2 linked regions of the Schizosaccharomyces pombe genome follow. The protein of the gene in region 1 interacts with the protein of each later gene in a pairwise test. Each region holds a gene or a part of one and is shown in the gene's direction. Other genes may lie near its edges.

Region 1 (5,372 bases):
GTTTTTTATAGCGAGTTCATCATTAGTATTTTTTGTGAAGACAAGCTTAACGAGTCTCCAGAGAAAATTATAGACAATAATTACAAGTAGTAAGATTGGCATATTTTCACGAAACGCGGAATACTGAAAATCAGCGGAATCGACTTTTTGTCCAAACAACCACCCAGGCTTTAAATATTTTTCAATGTTTTTGTAATTGGGATGTTTTGCTGACGCCTAGTTAGTTGCTTACTTTATTTCAAATTGATAAATAGAAAAGGCTGATTAAAGCTTTTGACACTTACGAGAACTAACATAATGAATTTTAAAACAAGCAATTGTTAGAATCGATAGAATGACAGAAAAGTAAAAAATAAATTCTATGGAACCAAAAGCGCTCTTTTCCGGAACTGCGCTTCGAACGGTCAAACGTGAAGATGAAGATGGATGACTTGAACCAGAAGTCGAACTTAACCGTGAACTTTTAGAATTGGGTCTTTCAGTATCTTTGGTCGAAGTCTCAAGAACATCAAATCGAAATAAACGTAACATCCTAGAAGTCTCCTACCAACAGCAAAGAAGATGGTCGGTTCTCAAAATATCATAGAGTAAACAAACCTAGTGGTGTTCACTAGCAAAATGCAAGACACTGCGTAATTTACACTTTGTGTCAGCTTCATAGTCCGTAAATAATTTTAAGAGTAAGGTAGAGAGAGTATGATGAAATCAATTATATTTTTAAAAATAATAAATTCAGTTTGTATTGTTTATTGGAATGAATAAAATAGTCAGCACTATACAAAACGCGCTATTAAAATAGAAATATTAATTAAGCATCTTTAAAGACTAAATTTTGATTTTGGTAAATTAGCAACTTATATATTGAAAAATGTTTTACATTCGTTTGCAATAATTCTGTATAGCCCATTTAGATCTCTAAAATCGTTAATTTTTATAATTAATTAATTAATTTATTTTTTTTTGGATATGATTTGCTCAATGATTGCTAAATTATCACATCTAGTCTAAAAATTCAAAAGATAATTTCAAGTTAACAAGCTCATATAATAATTAAATGTTCTATTAGAACGTCGTATATATTGACCAAAGTATTACAAAAATAAATAAAAATAATATATACTATAGAAATTAAAATAAACAATGACTATATCTTGCAATTTATATGCTCCTAAACCCAATTTGATCGCTCTCCTAGTTCATTTGGAAGAATTGGAAGAAGATGATTTTGCTGGTCGAATTTTAAATTGAGGGGGCTTAAATTCTACAACATTGCCATTGATTACTTGACCATAGCCTTTTTTAAAAGTTTCCCCTTTCTTAGCTAAAATGTCTTCAATCGTCACCCGTTCTTCAGAGAATATTTTTAAATGATCAGCCATCAAGTGCCGATTTTTGCACTTAGGACATTGAACTAAAACGGTCCCATTATGGTAGGCCTGCTTGGAGAAATTGTGATTTGACCTAGTGTTACATCTTTCATTTGGTTAGTATCCTTCAATGAAATTATAAATACTTACACGGTACAAGTAAAAGAAACATTATAAGTCGGTTTAGGTTGTAATTGATCAGCATCTGATTTTACAGAGGGAACACCACTTGCAAGATCTTTAGCATCGCTTTGAGTGAAGCGTTTGCATTGCCAATTAGAAATGTTTCTCACATTCGGGGAACAGAAAAGTAAACTTGAAACCTTTACCTTGTTTGAAAAATTTTTTAACTGCAAATTTCGTAAACAGAATTTTTGAGTATACCGTGCAAAGCTCCACATTATGTTTGAAAAATTTTTGTGTTCGGAGAATGTTGTTCGTAGTTAGTACCTTCTACCACCTTTTGTACCATTACTTCCGTCTGTGCTGGCGTTTCTTTATGCAAACTCATATGCCCATATATTTAGCTTTTTTGTTGAAACTTAACTTTAAATTCCATTATTAATGCAGCGGTCAGCGAAGTTAAAAATTCGAGCGCCACGAAAAGTAAGTGTACCTGATGCATGCTGTCCTTATTATTTTCCTCACATACTGACATTTAGTTTTCTGCTAACCAAGTAGACTTTGCTACACATTGGGAAGTCTTGCAGCGAGCTATTGGGGATATATTTCAGAAAAGCACATCTCAATTATCGTTTGAAGAGTTGTATAGAAATGCATATATACTTGTTCTACATAAGTATGGAGAAAAGCTTTATAATCATGTACAGGATGTTATTAGATCGAGGCTTAAAGAAGAAACTGTTCCAGCTATTTACAAAAACTATGACGCTTCCTTATTAGGGAATGCTCTATTGGATATTAGAAAAAATGATTCCTATTCTACTTCATGGTCGAGATCATTGGAAGCGGCTCATAGATTTTTATCGTCTTTAGTTAATTCCTGGAAGGATCACATTGTTTCAATGCAAATGATATCTAGTGTATTAAAATATTTGGACAAGGTTTATTCAAAATCTGCAGACAAAGTTCCTGTTAATGAAAACGGAATATATATCTTTCGTGAAGTTGTTTTGTTAAATAGTTTTGAAATTGGAGAGAAATGTGTCGAAACTATTCTAATTCTGGTTTATCTTGAACGTAAAGGGAATACAATAAATCGACCCTTAATAAATGACTGCTTAGATATGCTAAACTCTTTGCCTTCAGAAAACAAAAAGGAAACTCTTTATGATGTTTTATTTGCTCCAAAGTTTTTATCTTACACAAGAAATTTCTATGAAATAGAATCATCAACAGTCATCGGCGTATTTGGAGTTGTGGAGTATCTGAAAAAAGCAGAGAAAAGATTTGAGGAAGAAAAGGAGAGGTCCAAGAATTACCTGTTCACAAAAATAGCTAGCCCCCTTCTATCCGTTGTTGAAGATGAGCTTTTGAGTAAACATTTGGACGATTTGCTTGAAAATCAATCAACTGGCTTTTTCTCGATGATCGACTCTTCAAACTTCGAGGGTCTTCAATTGGTTTACGAAAGCTTTTCTAGAGTGGAACTTGGCGTGAAGTCTTTAAAAAAATACTTGGCGAAATATGTAGCGCATCATGGAAAATTAATCAATGAAACTACTAGCCAAGCGCTTGAAGGAAAGATGGCTGTTGGTCGTCTATCATCTAATGCTACAATGGCAACATTATGGGTTCAAAAAGTTTTGGCCTTATGGGATAGACTAAATACAATTATAAGTACTACTATGGATGCTGATCGGTCTATCTTGAACTCTTTATCAGATGCTTTTGTTACGTTCGTAGACGGATATACCCGAGCCCCCGAGTACATTTCACTATTCATTGATGACAATCTGAAAAAAGATGCTAGAAAAGCAATAGAAGGCTCTATTGAAGCAACACTTCAAAATTCTGTTACGTTATTTCGGTTTATTTCAGAAAAAGATGTTTTTGAAAAATATTACAAAACACACCTTGCAAAAAGGTATGCTTTAATTGTTTTTACTGTCTTTAACACTTTTAGGTTGTTGAATAATCGATCAATATCTTCCGATGCAGAGCTCGGAATGATCAGTAGGCTGAAACAAGAAGCTGGTAATGTTTTTACTCAAAAGCTCGAAGGAATGTTTAATGGTAAGTATTCAGACTTTAGCAAGTTTTTTTGCGTTCCCTTATTAATGCTTAGATATGAATCTTTCACAAGAATTGTTACAGGAGTACAAACATAATTCTGCGTTACAGTCGGCCAAGGTTAGTGGAAATTTTTATTGATAATCCTTTATACTAACAGTTAGCCTGCTTTGGACTTAAACGTTTCAATTTTGGCTTCTACATTTTGGCCCATCGATTTATCGCCTCACAAAATTAAATGTAACTTTCCGAAAGTTCTCCTGGCTCAGATAGATCAATTTACGGATTTTTATTTATCGAAACATACGGGGAGAAAATTATTGTGGTATCCTTCTATGGTATAGTAAACTTTTATTTGCTTGTTGCGTCACACTAACAATCCTATTTAGGGAAGTGCTGATGTCCGTGTTAATTTCAAAGACAGAAAATATGACTTGAATGTATCGACTATTGCATCTGTTATTCTATTGCTTTTCCAAGACCTAAAAGAAAATCAGTGTTTAATTTTTGAGGAGATTTTGGAAAAAACCAATATAGAAGTTGGGGATTTGAAGCGCAATCTTCAGTCCCTTGCTTGTGCAAAATACAAGATTTTGCTAAAGGATCCAAAAGGAAGGGAGGTGAATGCAGGTGACAAGTTTTATTTCAATGAGAACTTTGTTTCAAATCTCGCCCGGATTAAAATATCGACAGTTGCTCAGACTCGTGTTGAGGATGATAGTGAGAGAAAACGTACATTAGAGAAGGTAGACGAGTCAAGGAAGCATCAAGCAGATGCCTGTATTGTTAGAGTGATGAAGTATGTCTTTTTCCTTTTTTTTTTTTTTCAAACATTTTTACTAACAGTAAATTAAGGGATCGCAAAGTGTGCGAACACAATCAGCTGATGGCAGAGGTTACAAGACAGTTAAACCCTCGTTTCCACCCTAGTCCGATGATGATTAAGCGACGAATTGAAGCTTTAATAGAGCGGGAGTACCTACAAAGACAAGCCGATAATGGTCGCATTTATGAATATTTAGCATAGCAGCCTTAACTGTTACACGAAATGCAATATTCGTATACGAGAAATCATGTTTAAATGGAAAGATACCAATTTGTTCAAGATGATATCTAGCAAAAGCTTTGTGATTATAATGACACTCATGAATTTTACACCAACTTCCTTTTTATTTTTGAAAAAAAGAAAATTTTAAGTAATGCTATAAGAAGGTTTGAAAACAGGTAGATTATATTCCAAATCAATCAAAATTTGATACATTAATTCTGCGAGCAGATAGTAGAGTAATGAGTTTAAATTACATTGTTCCATATACATTGTACAAAAAGACCAAAACAGAAAAACCCTCAGTTTAAAATAGATTAAGGTATTTGATCAACGATAGATGGGAAGTGTTAACCTAAAAAATTATTATGGGAGGAAGCGAATTCGCCGTAAATACACTATCCTACACAGTATGCTTTTGATGATGACTCTACTAATAACATCGAAAATACCAGAGCAAGTAAAGCTCCTTATAATCTTTAAGGTGTTAATCAAATAATAAAGCTATGTATTTGATTTAGTATTGAAACACCTGGTTGTTTACATTAAGAATATTCTTCTTTCCTAACGGACTACGCTATCCTCTTTAGCAATCTCGGAAGAACCCCTAAAAATATCTACCGTTCAATGCTATTCTGTATATTCTCCGCTTAATTCTATTTGTTTAGGAAATTGTATAAATAACCTCAAATATCTTAACGAACCCCACTTGTTCGCCAATTTCATTTAATTGGTTCCGCGTACCACACTTCCTTTTAACCACCAAA
Region 2 (6,461 bases), on another chromosome or scaffold:
CCACTTCGTATTGCAACATCTACTTTTCTCGCCAGTATACCAACCACACTGCAACCTCATGCTATTGAATATAGTCTAATTTCTCTAAGACAGTAAAGCAAGTTTTAAAAGTCATATGTTTTTGATCTTTTTTAAAGAAGTTTCTGTTTTTTGAATTATTTTGAAGAAAATTATTTGTATGTAAGTTTGTGATCGATGGATAGTCATCATATGATGGAAAGATCGTTAACCTTTGAAAGAAACTATTCTCATTTATTTATAATAATATTTATAATAAGAGATATGAGCAGCTCGAACTCCCGAGTGCATGAGGAACAGCCTCCAACAGAAAATCGCAGATATGCGAGACCTACTGCACAAATGAATCGAGTAATTGAACAACAACCAAGGCGTCGCGATTACTTCCAAAACAATGACAACTCTGGTCGCAGAGGTTATAATAGGCATGAAAACAATGGTAATGCGCAGGATGTGGTACGTTCACACTATAACGCGCGTCCTGATTTGGGTTATAAAAAACGACAATTTTCTCCTATTATTCAACTAAAGAGGTTTAACAACTGGATCAAATCTGTTCTCATACAAAAATTCGCACCCCATGCTTCTGATTATCCTATTTTGGTACTAGACATGGGATGTGGAAAAGGTGGTGATTTAATTAAATGGGACAAAGCTGGCATTGATGGATATATTGGGATTGACATAGCTGAAGTTTCCGTAAATCAGGCCAAGAAGAGATACCGTGAAATGCATGCTTCTTTTGATGCACTATTCTACGCTGGCGACTGTTTTTCTAGCTCAATTAACGAATTACTTCCCCCAGACCAAAGAAAATTTGACGTTGTTTCTCTACAGTTTTGCATGCATTATGCATTTGAAAGCGAAGAAAAGGTTAGGGTCTTGTTGGGGAACGTTTCTAAATGCCTTCCTCGTGGTGGAGTAATGATAGGAACGATTCCCAATTCCGATGTAATTGTCAAACATATTAAAATGCTTAAACCAGGAGAAAAAGAATGGGGAAATGACATATACAAAGTCAGATTTCCTGAATCACCTCCACGCTCTTTTCGACCTCCGTATGGAATTCAATATTATTTTTATTTAGAGGATGCTGTTACCGATGTTCCTGAATATGTAGTTCCTTTTGAAGCCTTTCGTGCTGTTGCCGAAGGATACAATCTTGAATTAATATGGGTAAAACCTTTTTTGGACATCTTAAATGAAGAGAAAAACTCTGAAACGTATGGACCCCTAATGGATCGAATGAAAGTCGTTGATAATGAAGGACACCGTGGAATTGGTGGACAGGAAAAAGAAGCAGCAGGATTTTATTTAGCATTTGCCTTTGAGAAGAGGGGAATTTAGTCTTTTCTTTCCTTATCCCACTGATTCACTGTGCAGACCGCATTGTAGAAAGATCTTTCACGCTCGAAAGATCAGTACAGTGGTAGAAAAAAAGATGACTTTAAAAGATGTAGATTAATTTTTGATGGCAATGACTTTTATTTATTTATTCATTTTTATGCCTTTATTCTTTCTTTTTCTGTTTTCATATATTTTATACATAAGTAACATGCTCTCTTTCATTCCAGCTTAAGCGAATAAATAAAGTATGCTCCCAGGCATATTTCATCAAATCAGATTGCCCCAAAAATTGCCTCAAATATTAAGCGATAGCTTAAATCAATGCACCTGTCGGTATTCAACTACCAGCATCCACTGCTACTCTTCTTCCATTTTTTCTTCAGCAACAGTCAAGTTAAAAAACTGGAACGTTTTAATTGATTTGAGAGAAAATTTCTTATGGAGTAATCGATTGATTAAATGATAAATTCACATTGCGCCCTTTTTTAGTCTCGATTGATTAAATGAGTCATCTGCTTTTCGCGTATTACCTTTGCAACGACATTCGCTCATTCCAAAATCTACTGAAGCAAGATGATTCAAAGGTGAAAGAGCCTAGAAAGGGTTTTTCGGAAAAGAGCGGACAAAAACTCCGTATCAACCAAAAAGATCGATACGGACGCACCGTGCTGCACATCGCCGTTTCTGAGAATAAAAATTCCTTTGTTAGATCTCTTTTGCAGCATAAAGGCATTGATGTTTTTGTGCAAGATGAAGAATCTGGATATACGGCGTTGCATCGGGCAATCTACGTTGGCAACTTGGAAGCAGCGTCTTTGCTTTTATCAAAAGATCCCTCCTTCAGATCATTGCGTATTAAAGACAAAGAAGGTCTTTCTCCATTTCAATTTTTATCACGAGTCCTTTCAAGCACTATTCATCCGGTTCTTGACTTACCGATAATAGGAAATGAACTTTATGGCTTTGGTACTAACGTAAACAATACGCTCGGAATAGCAAATGGGAAAGAACCTTCATCGCCAGAAAGAGTGTTTTTACTGAAAAACCAAACAGAGTCTCCCACATCAGGTCAACTCTTTTCCCGAGACAAAATCCTTGATGTGCAGGCTTCCAAATTTCACAGCGTCGTACTAACGGATGAGCCGTCGCAAAATGTTTACGTATGTGGTATTGGTGCTGGAGGGAGAATAGGTTTTAACACGGACGTTCAATATAACTTTATTCCTATTCCTGGTATCATTCATAAAGTTATCCAGATTTCTGTTAGTCATACCCATTCACTTGCTCTTACAAAGTTCGGAAGTATTTATTCGTGGGGAAAGAATGGTTCTGGTGAACTGGGACTTTCTAATGACGAACTGAAAAAGGATGATCCAATTCAAATTACCCCTAGGCGTATCTCTGCATTCAAGGATTATCAGATAATTGGAATGGCGGCTGGAAAAAGTTATAGCGTTGCTTGGACTGACACTGATATTTACAGCTGGGGGTTAAATAATGGCCAATTAGGTATATCTGATCATATTTCAGTTGTTTCTACTCCAAGGAGAGTTGCTGGCTTATTATCGCCTGTCATACATGCCGTTTGTACTACTCGTGCTACGATATGCCTTTTACAAAACAACAGTATAATTGCCTTTTGCAATTATAATCAAGTGAAATTGCCATTCAACGTTGACTTTGGTAGTTCGTTAAAGGTAACTAAGCATCCTCTTTCCCTCACCAGATTTAACGTTAGAAAATTATTAGCTTCAGAAAACAAACTAGCCGTGCTTACAGAACTAGGCGAAGTCTATGAATTTGATATGAAGCTTTTACTTGATCGTGATTCTACCTCTTCCAAGAATTCCACACGAACTTCATTCAAATTTACTCCATTATGGATTTTTGAATCTTCAGACCTTGCAGCTTTAGATATTGCGTGGACCGCTGATAATTCTTTAATACTATGTACTAGAAATGGCACTTGTTGGAAACGGGAGTTAAGGTCAAAAAAGCGAGAAAAGTCATCTAGTAGCCCGTATTCTAGAGGACCATACAAATATAATAGAATTGAAAATTTACAAATGGTTGTTGGAGTCCGTGCGAGCGCTTCTGGATCATTTTTTGCAATTCGAAATGATTATCTTCCACCGCCAATCTACAAGCCTTCGAATATGTTAATTGATCTTTTGCGCTCACTACTTCCCTATGACCACCTTTTACATGTAAGACAACCACGTTTGATTCCTCCCGAAGATGAAGACGGAGTCCCTATTTTTGACGAAGACCGCGCTGCATCCAGCAATGAGATGCAGCTACTTTTTGAAGGATCTATACCGATTCTTACTAGTTATGAAAATTATAAGCAATCATTTTCTGATGTTACTATTTATTGTGGTACTTCTATGTTCCACTCACATAAGTTCATATTGTGTGCTCGATCTTCATTTTTGAGAAAATTATTGCTACAAAAAAAGAAATCGAGTGTCTCCAACATCATTTACATTGAAGAAATCACTCAATCTCATTCAACAATTAGAGTTGAAGATATTCCTCCTTTAGCGGTTGCTATTCTTTTGCATTATTTGTACACGGATACATTGCTTTCTCCATGGCATCTTGATTCACGCTTTTCACCTTTAAAAGAAAACCTTTCAAAACTTGCAAACTTACTGGAGTTACCTCATTTAGCGGAGGTTTTACCGTTTAGTGTTTCCCGCCAACCTTTGCTTTCTTTAACGAATGACATTCTGCAACTATATAATAATTTTTATGTCTTATGCGAAGAAACAATGGATACAGTAATAAAGCTTAAAGATGGAGAGCTCAAGGCACATGGTCTTTTTTTAAGTCTCCGCAGTGAATACTTTAGTTCTTATTTCCAATTTGTTTCTATGGAAAGCAATAGTTTTGACATCCCAATAACCGTCAATTTGTCTCATTTGACTGTTGAGCATATGTCAATTGTTCTTCGTCATGTATACAGTGACTTAAAAGTTGAGCTTTTTGACGATTTGAAAGAATCCGATTTTCATAATTGGTTGGAAACTATGTTCGAAATTTTGTCTATTGCAGACGAGCTTCTTTTTCTTGAACTAAAAAGCATAGCCCAGCAATCCTTACTTCGCTTTTTAAATTTGAAAACTCTACCTACTCTAATGGATCTTTCACTTAGTTATCACGCTGAGGAGCTTTATTCACGATGTATTGATTATGCTTGTCACAATATTGAATTCTTTTTGGAAGCAAATCGTATAAGTGAATGGGATGGTTTCCATTTAAAAAAAGTCGCTCAACGTTTAACTGAATTGCTTTCTGATCAACGAGTACATCTTCCTTCTAGCAAGATTGCTAATAGATTATTGATAAGAGATCCAGTGTTGATGGAAAAAAGAAATTATGAGCTTAAAGTTCTCAGAGAATACTTGTTTTCCCAGGAAAGTTCTCAATTATGGGACGATTCCCCTTATCGGTCTATTTTTGAAGATCGTCGATGCAGCACTTCAGCAGTAATTTTAGAATCTGGAATTGTTCCTTCAAGTAATCAAAGTGATTCATTAAATAAGGAAGATGCTGAGGAGAAGTCTCCTAAACCAAATGTTGTTAACGTTACGAGCATTACAAAGACAGCAGGAGCTTCTGTTGAAATTCAAAACAATATAGAGTCTGCTTCGTCAGGAGGGGATAAAACACAATTAAATGGTCCTGGGGCTGATCAACCTGTTACTGCAACAATTACTTTTGACAAAACGAGTCCATGGAGGAATAGGGAAAATCTTTCTCATAATAACAACACTACTAGAGCTAGTCTTAGAGAATTGCTGGAGCAAGAGAAAGCTGATGCTTCAACTACTACGGTTTTGTCTGATTCTAGATTTATGAAAGCTCCAACTAAAAAATCCCAACGTGAGAAAAAAAAGGAGCTTTCAAAGCAAGTGCCTATTTCCAAAACAAATGTTGGCCACATCGATATCGAGTTGGGTAAATCGAATCACTCAAACCCTTGGTCTGTAGCAACACATCAGAGGGGCAGTTTTTCGTCATCAACTGGAGTGAAAAAGTCATTTAATGGTATTCTTAGAGAGGCAGCTCGAGAGGAAGGTTCATCTCAAGTAATTTATCAAGAATCGAAGAAGCGCATTTCCAATGGTTCTCCAACTAGTTGGAACCTACTTACTAAACCATCTCCCCGATCTGCTTCTTTACCAAAAAATAGCCAACCTTTATCGATTTCGGAGATTATGACTGAGCAGAAAGAAGAAATTGAGAGTCAAAAGAGGAGATCATCTTTTAGAAAAACAATTGAGGAGATACAACAGGAAGAGGAGTTTCAAAAGTGGTGGGAGGAGGAGAGTTTGAGAGTACAGAAAGAACTTGGAATCCTTAAAACTGAAAGAGATACCTCTACGAATAGAAAACAGGGACAAGCTTCTAAACAACCTCAACGAAGGCACAGAAAGGAAAAAGATTCCAAAGTGTCAGAGTCCACTGCGGAGTTTAAATCTCTTCCTATTGATATACCAAGGACTACTCACAAGAAAGGAAAAGCACGTGCAGTCAAATGACCATAACAACGACTATATACAAAAAATTCAGGACATTAATTTATTCAACTTATGAAGAGATACTTTAATAGATATGTATAAGAAAAAATATTTGCTACATGGTGAATTATTTATTAAGCTTTTGTTTCACGATACCAATCACACATTTTACATACGCTAAAAATTCAATATTTGAAAATAATAAAATTGAATAGGAAACTTTGGTCATAAAGAAATTCAAAGCACGTACGGAATGAATACAAGAATTCGATATACACGGTAATTTATAGTGTATCAAGGACAGATCCAATTGTAGTGGAAAAATTATAGGAGAAATGATGCTGCTTCGTAAATTCACTAGAGAAACCGTGACAAGCAATTACAAAACGAGCAAAGATAAGGTTTGTTTCCATTCACCTAAATCATCGCAAAATAGCCAGAGGTCAAAACGGAAAGGGCAAGAACAGCATAACCGGTACGATAGACACCCTTTAGACTTAACTCCTTGGTGGTATCCCAGATCAAGTGACGAATACCGTTAAAAATGTGGAAAGTCAAAGGATAAGAAAT

What was found. Proteins that work in one complex are often made in the same cells at the same time.
Region 2: the proteins of cul3 (region 1) and btb1 interact in binary tests that used the Schizosaccharomyces pombe proteins (3 or more experiments, as listed by UniProt).

Annotation. Positions count from the first base shown.
Region 1 is NC_003424.3:485,175-490,546, reverse strand, and holds cul3 (cullin 3), read left to right. Parts: upstream 1-1,832; 5' UTR 1,833-1,931; coding exon 1,932-1,973; intron 1,974-2,029; coding exon 2,030-3,414; intron 3,415-3,453; coding exon 3,454-3,563; exon of another isoform or gene 3,564-3,615; coding exon 3,616-3,680; exon of another isoform or gene 3,681-3,724; coding exon 3,725-3,898; exon of another isoform or gene 3,899-3,949; coding exon 3,950-4,359; exon of another isoform or gene 4,360-4,415; coding exon 4,416-4,587; 3' UTR 4,588-4,824; downstream 4,825-5,372. Other genes in the region: gup1 (MBOAT family O-acyltransferase), read right to left, coding at 1-209, 285-531; TIM23 translocase complex subunit Tim15, read right to left, coding at 1,197-1,473, 1,518-1,768. UniProt on the Schizosaccharomyces pombe protein: Probable core component of multiple cullin-RING-based BC3B (BTB-CUL3-BTB) E3 ubiquitin-protein ligase complexes which mediate the ubiquitination and subsequent proteasomal degradation of target proteins.
Region 2 is NC_003421.2:129,649-136,109, forward strand, and holds btb1 (BTB/POZ family ubiquitin-type ligase substrate adaptor Btb1), read left to right. Parts: upstream 1-1,746; 5' UTR 1,747-1,868; coding exon 1,869-5,912; downstream 5,913-6,461. Other genes in the region: mRNA 5'-cap (guanine-N7-)-methyltransferase Pcm1, read left to right, coding at 283-1,365; sdh3 (succinate dehydrogenase cytochrome B subunit), read right to left, coding at 6,309-6,461. UniProt on the Schizosaccharomyces pombe protein: Probable substrate-specific adapter of an E3 ubiquitin-protein ligase complex which mediates the ubiquitination and subsequent proteasomal degradation of target proteins.